3 linked regions of the Macaca fascicularis genome follow. The protein of the gene in region 2 purifies or fractionates together with the protein of the main gene of each other region. This does not show direct contact. Links are inferred from orthologs where the notes say so. Each region holds a gene or a part of one and is shown on either strand. Other genes may lie near its edges. The genes, in order: NAP1L5, NAP1L1 and MAGED2.

What was found.
Region 1: the proteins of NAP1L1 (region 2) and NAP1L5 purify together in Homo sapiens (affinity purification with mass spectrometry; 3 studies listed by BioGRID and IntAct, counting the BioPlex papers as one, with this or other methods). This does not show direct contact. The link is inferred for Macaca fascicularis from reciprocal best matches to the Homo sapiens genes NAP1L1 and NAP1L5.
Region 3: the proteins of NAP1L1 (region 2) and MAGED2 purify together in Homo sapiens (affinity purification with mass spectrometry; 4 studies listed by BioGRID and IntAct, counting the BioPlex papers as one, with this or other methods). This does not show direct contact. The link is inferred for Macaca fascicularis from reciprocal best matches to the Homo sapiens genes NAP1L1 and MAGED2.

Annotation. Positions count from the first base shown.
Region 1 is NC_088379.1:94,243,536-94,247,022, reverse strand, and holds NAP1L5 (nucleosome assembly protein 1-like 5), read left to right. Parts: upstream 1-994; 5' UTR 995-1,077; coding exon 1,078-1,626; 3' UTR 1,627-2,906; downstream 2,907-3,487.
Region 2 is NC_088385.1:82,887,819-82,891,087, reverse strand, and holds part of NAP1L1 (nucleosome assembly protein 1-like 1), read left to right. Parts: intron 1-29; coding exon 30-175; intron 176-269; coding exon 270-289; intron 290-2,778; coding exon 2,779-2,901; intron 2,902-3,269. UniProt on the Homo sapiens protein: Histone chaperone that plays a role in the nuclear import of H2A-H2B and nucleosome assembly.
Region 3 is NC_088395.1:54,796,839-54,800,590, forward strand, and holds the start of MAGED2 (melanoma-associated antigen D2), read left to right. Parts: upstream 1-1,152; 5' UTR 1,153-1,215; intron 1,216-1,780; exon of another isoform or gene 1,781-1,836; intron 1,837-2,473; exon of another isoform or gene 2,474-2,625; intron 2,626-2,704; 5' UTR 2,705-2,733; coding exon 2,734-2,778; intron 2,779-3,118; coding exon 3,119-3,610; intron 3,611-3,752. UniProt on the Homo sapiens protein: Regulates the expression, localization to the plasma membrane and function of the sodium chloride cotransporters SLC12A1 and SLC12A3, two key components of salt reabsorption in the distal renal tubule.

The sequences.
Region 1 (3,487 bases), on a different chromosome or scaffold from region 2:
GAAGGCAGTGAGTGGGGAAGAAGGGGGGAAGAAGATGGGCAGAAGGTGGGGCATAACACAGTGCGGGGGAGGGGCAGGAGGGAGGGAGAAGATGGTGGCAAGGAAAGGTGTGAAAACAGATAATGGGGAAGGCAGGAAAGCAGATGGTGTTGGGGGAAGCCCGGGAAGACGAAAGTGAGCAGGGTGGGATAGATGGCACACGCTTTAACCAAGATAAGAGGGGGCCTTGGCCCTGGGCCCCATGCTTTAGAGAGACTTGTTTTTTTCAGCCCTCCTCAAGCTTTAGTACTTCCCACAGGCCAAAGATTCTGTAGAACCTTCTAGAACACACACCAGGACACTGGGAGCTCTGAGATTTCCTACCCAAATGACTCCAAAACTGCTTCCAGGGGGGTCCTGCTGAGAGACAACCTTGCCACCAGGGTATGTGTCGCCAGGTGTGTGGGATGGCCAAGGGGGTGTTGGGTGGACACACGGGTACAGAGCTTGGATATGCAAGCTGCCCTATCCACACATATGCTCCCCAGGTCCCCAAAAGGGTAGAATGGAGCCAGCTTGCCCGTTCCTCCACTGCCTGGAGAGGAATGTGGAGGAATCTAAGAGGTGATCAAATGCCAGCTATGGAGAGAGATGCAGAGGTAAGCGAAGACATATGTACTAGCATTTGTAGAAGGGCCTGGATGGGGGTGAGGAGCACACGGAAAACGGGCTGAGGCCATCTACGCAGTTCCTGAAGCAGCACCTCGGGCAGCCACTGACACTCCCAGCCCAGCTCTACAGGAGGTGGGTACATGGGTGGGCTGGGAACAGGGTGTCTGTCCAACAGGCTGGTGTTGAGGGCCCAGGAGACGTCAGGGTAGCAACAGGAGGAATCTGGTGCAGTATGAGCGCACGGCCGTCAGCTGATAGTGGGGAGCCAGTCAAGTGCCGCAAAAGCAGGGGGCGGGGCCGCGGCCGACGTCATTCCCGCGGCCGCGCGTCACCGCCACTTGCCGCATCCGCAAGATCTCTCTGGACCAGCTCGGGTGCAGGGCCTCTGCGGGATCCCTCCTAGACCTCTGCGGCTTCTCCTCTAACATGGCCGACTCGGAAAACCAGGGGCCTGCGGAGCCTAGCCAGGCGGCGGCAGCGGCGGAGGCAGCGGCGGAGGAGGTAATGGCGGAAGGCGGTGCGCAGGGTGGAGACTGTGACAGCGCGGCTGGAGACCCTGACAGCGCGGCTGGTCAGATGGCTGAGGAGCCCCAGACCCCTGCAGAGAATGCCCCAAAGCCGAAAAATGACTTTATCGAGAGCCTGCCTAATTCGGTGAAATGCCGAGTCCTGGCCCTCAAAAAGCTGCAGAAGCGATGCGATAAGATAGAAGCCAAATTTGATAAGGAATTTCAGGCTCTGGAAAGAAAGTATAATGACATATATAAGCCCCTACTCGCCAAGATCCAAGAGCTCACCGGCGAGATGGAGGGGTGTGCATGGACCTTGGAGGGGGAGGAGGAGGAGGAAGAGGAGTACGAGGATGACGAGGAGGAGGGGGAAGAGGAGGAGGAGGAGGATGCTGCAGCAGAGGCTGCCGCGGGGGCCAAACATGACGATGCCCACGCCGAGATGCCTGATGACGCCAAGAAGTAAGGGGGGCAGAGATGGATGAAGAGAAAGCCCACGAAGAAAACAGCTTGGTTTTGTTTTTCCCAGAATATTGGTGGACTTAAAAAGGCTCAGGTTTTTGACCAAAATACAATGTGAATTTATTCTGACATTCCTAAAATAGATTAAATTGAAGCAATTAGATCCTGGCCAGCTCGATTCAAATTTTTCATTTTGAACATAATAAATATATCAAAAGGTGTTAAAGAAAACCGAATTAAACCCAAAATTATGTTTTCATGGTCTCTTCTATGAGGATTGAGGTTTACAAAGGGTGTTAGTAGATGCGAAGTAAAGAACGTCACTTTGAAACCCATTCATAACACAGCATACGCTACACATGGAACACCCAGGCCATGACTGAACACGTTTTCAGTGCTTAATTCTTAAATTTCTTTACTCATGACATTTCGCTGTGCAGAGAAGGCAGACCCCAAGAAAAACGTCATCTTTGAGACTTTGCTTTTGTAACGCAGACATCAGCTTTACACTTCACAGGAGATTGATGGCACTGAGGAAGACTGCAATGGAGATCATGACACTACTGTTAATAAGGCCAGGAAAACTGCCATTTCAAGTTCTGAAAAATGTTTGAGTATTTGAATTTAGAGAATAACATGGTTCCAAGAAGGAGGGTGTAAAACCTGTAAAATACTGTCAACATATGTATTCATTAGTTACAATCTCATGTTTGTGTTTTCTTAGTAGTGTCTATTTACAAAGACGTAAAAAATACCCCAAATATGTTTAAGTATTAAATCACTTTACCTAGTGTTTTAGAAATATTAATTTACTTGAAGAGATGTAGAATGTAGCAAATTCTGTAAAGCATGTGTATCCAGTGTTATGTACTTTGATCCTTGTGACGTCTTTCTGTCATGTAGCTTTTAGGGTGTAGCTGTGAAAATCATCAGAACTCTTCACTGAAGCTAATGTTTGGAAAAAATATATACTTGAAGAACCAATCCAAGTGTGTGCCCCTACCCCCAGCTCAGAAGTAGAAAGGATTTAAGTTTGCTTGTATTAGCTGTGCCTTCATTATTTTGCTATGTAAATGTGACATATTATAAAATGGTGCATAATCAAATTTTACTGCTTGAGGACAGACGCATACAGTAAGGATTTTTAGGAAGAATATATTTAATGTAAAGACTCTTAGCTTCTGTGTGGGTTTTGAATTATGTGTGAGCCAGTGATCTATAAAGAAACATAAGCTTAAAGATGTTTACCACTGTGGTGTTAATAAAACAGTATTTTCAAAAAAATATATATAAAAGTCTCGGTACTCTGACTGCCTGTATTCAAATCCCAGCTCTGCCTCCTATTAGTAATGTACCTTAGGCAACTCAGCTAATACTCTCAGTGCTCAATTTCTCCTCATCTACAAAAGGGAATAGGAATAGTCCCTTCCTCATGGGTTACTATGAAGAGCAAATGGATTAATGCATATAACGCCTATAGAATAGCATCCAAACCATGGTAAGCGCTGAATAATTCTTAGCTATTATTATTACATGAAAGATAAAGACAGTGATTGGAAATTCAATCCTCCTTCTCTCCTGTTACAAAATGGGAGAAATGGACATCACTACATCAATGCCTTCCCATGTTTCTGATTCCTTATTATGAGAGAAGAATGTGGCCTTTAATTCAGAAACACAGGAAATTAAATAAACTATCTTGTTTTGGTTTCCTCAACATAATATCAAGTTTTTATTATCTCCCAGAAAGGATAAAAGACTTCAATATAACATTAAAAATATACAAAAAAGGCTATTTCAACTTTGTTTGCTTCATTCTGAATGAAGCAGAGTTTTTTAAAAAAACTGGACTCCAAAAAAATTAA
Region 2 (3,269 bases):
TAATAGATTTTTCTTCTTTGTTTTGCAAGGTGCCAGATAGATTGGAAAAAAGGAAAGAATGTCACTTTGAAAACCATTAAGAAGAAGCAGAAACACAAGGGACGTGGGACAGTTCGTACTGTGACTAAAACAGTTTCCAATGACTCTTTCTTTAATTTTTTTGCCCCTCCTGAAGGTAAATAATGTTTTAGCGTGAGTATTAGTGGTTATTTTATAATAAGCGTTGTTTAGCTTCTTATTCATTGTAATTTCTTTTCTGAATTTTGCAGTTCCTGAGAGTGGAGATCTGGTAAGTTGAATTGTTATTTATTTATTGAATTGTTAACTATATTTGAAATTAAAGCACCGAATTTCAAGTGGAGAGTGGGATGGTTGTTACATTGAGTTCTGAGGCCTACAATGCATGGGGCAGACATTTTGGATCTGAAAAGTAATTCCATTCAGAATGATATCAGTGCCTCTACTGAGAAACACTGAGATAAAAAGCTTAAGGTTTTCTTTTCTTTTGAAACTTACAAAGCTGTGAGAGATTTAACTTTTCTTTCTTTTCTTTCTTTTTTTTTTTTTTTTTTGAGACGGAGTCTCGCTCTGTGGCCCAGGCTGGAGTGCAGTGGCCGGATCTCAGCTCACTGCAAGCTCCGCCTCCCGAGTTTACACCATTCTCCTGCCTCAGTCTCCCAAGTAGCTGGGACTACAGGCGCCCGCCACCTCGCCCGGCTAGTTTTTTGTATTTTTTAGTAGAGATGGGGTTTCACCGTGTTAGCCAGGATGGTCTCGATCTCCTAACCTCGTGATCCGCCCGTCTTGGCCTCCCAAAGTGCTGGGACTACAGGCTTGAGTCACCGCGCCCGGCTGAGATTTAACTTTTCAAAACTATTGTCTTCCTTAGTAAAACCAGAATGTATTAAGTCATTTATACTGTTATATTCCTAACTACATTATGGTTAGAATGCATTCCTGAATTTGTTACCCCAATGTAAATATGATTTCATATTGTGACTATGTATGTTCATATATATGGCATATGGCAGAGAACCATGAAATGTTCCTGCCATATAGCCTGAACTGAAGAACAACCTTAAAGTCTATACACGCAAGGTATGGCAGGTATGTTTTGAATTTGGTTTTCTTTTGGGCATGTTTTTGAATTTAAATTAACTGAGATAGTTTAAATAGTTTGTCCATATATGGAATTAGAAATTAACCTTAATTGAATACTTTTGAATTGGAATACTCTTGGCTAAGGCTTAGAACAAATCTGTAAAAGGCAAAAGTAAGTATTTCTGGCTTGGCTTATAGGACAAAAAAAAGAGAACATAAAGCAGTGTTGAGTTTCAGGTGAGAAAAACTACTTTAGTACTAAAGATAGAGCATCACACTATTTTCGTATCAGTGGATGTGTTGGAGTTTGTATTCAAGTTCTATTTTTTTTTTTGTTACTAAATATTGATGATGACAAAACAGTCTAGTTAAGGATAGAAAACCTCCACCTGTGGTTTGAATTCCTCCCCACCCCCTTTTTGGACTTTTTTATTTATTAGATTATGTTGTTGACTCAAACATTCATGGAATTCACAGAGGGCGTGCTCATTGTTTAGTATCATAGAACTTAAAGTGAGATTATTTATTTTATTATTATTATTATTGAGATGGAATATGGCTCTGTTGTCCAGGCTGGAGTGCAGTGGCGCAATCTCCACTCACCGGAACCTCTGTCTCCTGGGTTCAGGCAGTTCTCCTGTCTCAGCCTCCCAAGTAGCTGGGATTACAGGCGCGCACCACTGAACCTGCTAATTTTTTGTATTTTTAGTAGAGATGGGGTTTCACTATGTTGGCCAGGCTAGTCTTGAACTCCTGACCTCAGGTAATCCGCCTGCCTTGGCCTCCCAAAGTGCTAGGATTACAGGCGCTAGCCACCACACCCTGCCGAAGTGGAATTATTTTAATTGTAAATAATGCCAGACCCACTTTTACCCTGTGCTTTGCCATTAAATAGAAATCCTAAGCCAGGTACAGCTTCAGGCACCTGTAGTCCCAGCGGCTCTGGTGGCGGAGGTGGAAGGATCACATGAGACCAGCCTGGGCAACATAGCGAGACCCTGTCTCTAAAAAAGCAAAGTGCTAGGGGCAAAGGAAAATTGCAGACATATGTAACAATTGCTTTTGTGTATTTCTGTTTAAACCAGCAAAAACTAAGTAAACAGTTCTAATTTTTTATTCTTCACAATTTCTTAGTATGCATACTGGCCTGCTAGCTTTTCTTTTTGTTAAAAACTTGGAAAAGTTATTAAGGAAATTTAAAAATGACAAATTGTTTGTTAATATGGTGTGAGAAAAATCATGGAAAGTAAAGTTGAGCATTTCTTTCCTTCATCATGTAATTTAAACTGAAGAGGTTTTTTTTTTGTTTGTTTTGTTTTTTGTTTTTTTTCCCGGTTGCCCAGGCTAGAGTGCAGTGGTGCGATCACAGCTCATTTCGGCCTCAAGCTGCTGGGCTGCAGCAATCCTCCCACCTCAGCCTCTCAAGTAGCTGAGACTACAGGCATGTGCCACCCTGCCCAGCTAATTGTTTATTTTTTGTAGAGACGTGGGGGTCTCACTGTGTTGCCTAGGCTGCTCTCGAACTTCTGGGCTCAAGTGATCCTCCTACTTTGGCCTCCTGAAGTGTTGGGACTACCGGTGTGAGCCATAACACCCAGCCTCTAAGAGTCTTACATTGCCACGTTAAGTAACACAGTTATTCCTAAATTTTCTGCTTTTGTTTTCCTTTAAAAATAGGATGATGATGCTGAAGCTATCCTTGCTGCAGACTTCGAAATTGGTCACTTTTTACGTGAGCGTATAATCCCGAGATCAGTGTTATATTTTACTGGAGAAGCTATTGAAGATGATGATGATGATGTAAGTGAATTTGAATCCTGCAAAGAAATAATTGGGTGAGGGTATGGTGGTCAGAATTGGTAATAGATGAGTTTAGTTTTTAAGAAACAGGACATAATATAATTCAAAATTAGGCTAATTACTGATGTTCTGGATATAGCTTTTCTGGGTTTTCAGTATGTCTCCTTAGGATTTTTGGATTCATTTAGCTTTTGATTCTCTGCTAATAAGATTGTTCTGAGTTTGTGAAACTTTTTTATGTTTGGTTAGTGCTATAGATGTATTATGCCCTTGCCTTGACTTCACAGAACTAGGACTTTTCTTAGTGCACAAGAAAACATTTACTGGGAGGCATAGAATTTCTATTCAAGGTAGTATTGAGTGATGAT
Region 3 (3,752 bases), on a different chromosome or scaffold from region 2:
GTCTACTTCCTATTATTTTACATCTTATTTTGTTTTCTTGAATAGATCCAATTGCTTATGTGAATTTATTATGTGATAGAGGTGCCATTTCAAAGCAGAGAGGGAAAAGATGGATTAGTTTGCACATGATGTAGGGGTAAGAGACTATGATTTTGGAGAGTAATCAAGCTGAATCCGTATAGAAAATAAATTTTGAAATGATCAAACATCTAAATGTAAATAATAAAGCCACAAAAGTGCTTCAAGGAAAAAAAAACGGGGATTGTTATAGGAACATGAAAAGCATCTTTAAGCAAGCAGCAGGATCCAGTTGTGATGAAGGAAAAATGGATATATTTGACTACATAATAATTAAACATTTTTGTTTGGCAAAAATTATCATAAATAACATGAAAAATATTTGTAATATGTGACACGTACACGAGAGACATTGCTGGTGGGAACGTTATTCCATGTACTTTTTAGGAGTAAGTTGACAAATTTTGTATCTTTTGTTATCAAAATGGAAGACGTTTTTGTAGCATTTGAGCTAGCAAAAAATACCCTAAATAAAAAAAAAGTGCCCCAAACAATCTAAATGTACATGTGTGCTGGACTGGTTCAATAAATTATGGGACATCTATACAAGAAAAGATCATGCAACTGTTTAGAAAAATGTGCACTAACGGAAAGATTTTTTATATATAACTGGAAAAAAACAGGTCGCAGAACAGAAGGTATGTATAGTGTACCATTTGTCGGAGAGAGAACCTGAATAATTAGTATACGAATAGAAAAAAAATCTGGATAGCAAAATGTTAATAGTGGTTATTTCTGGGAGATAAGAGTGGCCTTTCATTGGTATGTTATATATTACTGCATTGTTTTAATTTTTACAACAACAACAACAAAACAACAACATATTACCTTTGTAATAAGAAAAAATGAAGATATAAAAAGAAATTCAATGAATGACTTTCTTTCGGGGGCGGTTTGGGTTGGAAGAGTTTCAGACTGAGCCTGGTACAGTGGCATAAACATGGGCTTTGGCGTCAGACAGCCCTGAGCAGGGCCCCATTGCCCCACCCCCGAGGAAGGCGAGGGGGGGTGGCAGGGGGCTGCGGAAAGGGGCTGGGCTGGGTTGGGCTGTCTGCAGCTCTAGTCCAGGAGGCTGAGACTTCGAGAGGGACTTAGAGAAGGCAGACGCATCCCGAACTCGCTGGAGGACAAGGTGAGGTGCGTTGAGATTGGGGTTTTATGGAGGTCATAGAGTGGTTCCAGACCCCTCGAACCCATAGCCAGGCAGATGAGCAATTCTTACTGCACCACTGCAGCTGAAGCAGAGGTGACCTGGAGTGGTGTGTAGGCAATGAGGACGACTGAGAAAGTGGTAGGCTGTATAGACTGGGAGCAGAGACGAGCGGAGGAGGAGGGGAGAAAAACGGGGAACCAGGAATGTTGGGAGGGGGACGAGGAATACAAGGAGGGAGGGGAACACTAAGGGGGAGTGATCCAGAGAAGAGAATGGGGATGCAGAGAGAGGTTAAGGAATACTGAGGGGCAGGGTGTGCAATCGTAACACGGAGGAGGATGTAAGGAATGGGAAGAGGGAATTCTGGAGTAAATAGAAAATGTGAGGTGGGAATAGGGAGTAAGGAGCCAGGCTAAGGGAATACGGAGGGGGGCATAAGGAATGAGGAGCAGGGAGCGGGGGAGGGGCAGACAGGCTGGGACGGAGGCCCCCTAGGGAGGCGGAAAGGGGCGGGACCACTTCCGGCCTAGAGAAGGGAGGGCAGTCTCTGAGTTTCGGAGGGGCTTGGAGTGAGTGGACGCTCTCGGGAATTGTAGGAGGACGAGGTGAGCAGCCGGGCGGGCTTTTGGATGAGAGCCCCGCTAGGGGTCGGCCGCACCCTCTGGGATCTGGAGAAAACCTGTCATGAGGATCGGATCGTACCGGATCCATCCGGCTGGGAAGGGAGGGGACTGGACCCGGTTTGACCGGGCCCAAGATGGAATCACTAGCTTAATATTTATTTGAGGAGGGGGTGTAATAGGGAAGGGGCGGAACCAAGATGCGCCTGTTTGGAGGGGGGCGTGTTAGGAAGAAGGGCGGGGCCAAGAGACACTGGACTCGGTAGGGCGTGAGTAGGGGAGGGGCCGGGCCCACCAGACACTGCGACAATTTTGGAGGAAGGCTTCTTGGGCAGGGGGCGGGACCGAATGGTACTGCGGACCTGGAGAGGGGCGTGTGTCGGGGCAGAGTGCCAGACTGAGACCACGATCATTGCGCATGCGCACTATGTATCGCTGAAAGGGGCGTGTTGAGAAGGGCCAGCACTGAGACGAGCCAGCTGCTGAATGCGCATGTGCACGGTGGACATCAAAGAAAGGGCTCGTGCTGGGAAAGCGGGCGGGGCTGAGAGCGGCCCTGCAGCCGACGCGCATGCGCTCTATCGACCTGCGGCTGGGTGGGGGGTGCACTGGGAAAAGGGGCGGGGTCCTCAGAGCTGCCGCGCTGGCACATCTTCCTGGAGAAGGGGAGGGTGCGGCTGCAGACAATTGAGACTTAGAAGCTTTGGATTCCTGTATCTGAGAACGGAGTCGTTGTGGGTGGTGGAGGGGGTTGGAATTGGGGACCTACGGAAGGTAAGGATCAGCCTCCAGGCACAACAGGGGAGAGGACGTTCAGTGGGCTTCAACTTGACCCAGGCCTTCTCCTCTTCAGGCTCAGCTCTTGCCAGGCCAAATTGAGACATGTCTGACACAAGCGAGAGTGGTGCGGGTCTAACTAGCTTCCAGGTAAGGCCTCTTTCTGTCCTTTCCCCAGCTGCTTTTCCTCTCCAGCCCTTGTTGCTGCCCTAAGTCCCTTGGCTCTTCTCCTCCCATCCTTGTCCTTCTCCACCTACTTTCCTGCCTGGGTGTCCCCCTGCCCAGTGGAGGGAGGGAGAGAAGGTGGGCGGGCCCCTCTTCTGCCTTCAGTTCTTGCTCAGAGGAAAGGGAGGCCTTGTTCGGCTGAGGTGGTCAGAGCACACCGCAGGTACGAGTACAGGTCAGAGAAGTGTGGCCTTGGAATTTTGGAACCATTTGCTTAGTTGGGGGTGGGGAGAAGGTCTGTGAACTTCCCTGCTTCCTCTTGCAGGCTGAAGCTTCAGAAAAGGACAGTAGCTCGATGATGCAGACTCTATTGACAGTGACCCAGAATGTGGAGGTCCCAGAGACACCGAAGGCCTCAAAGGCACCGGAGGTCTCAGAGGATGTGAAGGTCTCAAAAACCTCTGGGGTCTCAAAGGCCACAGAGGTCTCAAAGACCCCAGAGGCTCAGGAGGCACCTGCCACCCAGGCCTCATCTACTACTCAGCTGACTGATACCCAGGTTCTGGCAGCTGAAAACAAGAGTCTAGCAGCTGACACCAAGAAACAGAATGCTGACCCGCAGGCTGTGACAATGCCTGCCACCGAGACCAAAAAGGTCAGCTGTGTGGCTGATACGAAGGTCAATACTAAGGCCCAGGAGACTGAGGCTGCTGCCTCTCAGGCCCCAGCAGATGAACCTGAGCCTGAGAGTGCAGCTGCCCAGTCTCAGGAGAATCAGGATACTCGGCCCAAGGTCAAAGCCAAGAAAGCCCGAAAGGTAAGACCTCTGCAGTCACCACCCTTCGTTTTCTACTCCTCTCCTCTCAGTTGGTTCATTTGTTCTACAAACATTTCGAAAGATCCCTGTGCTCATCAGGGCTGTGGGGGGCACTGAAAGTAATGTGATGTAATTCTTGTCT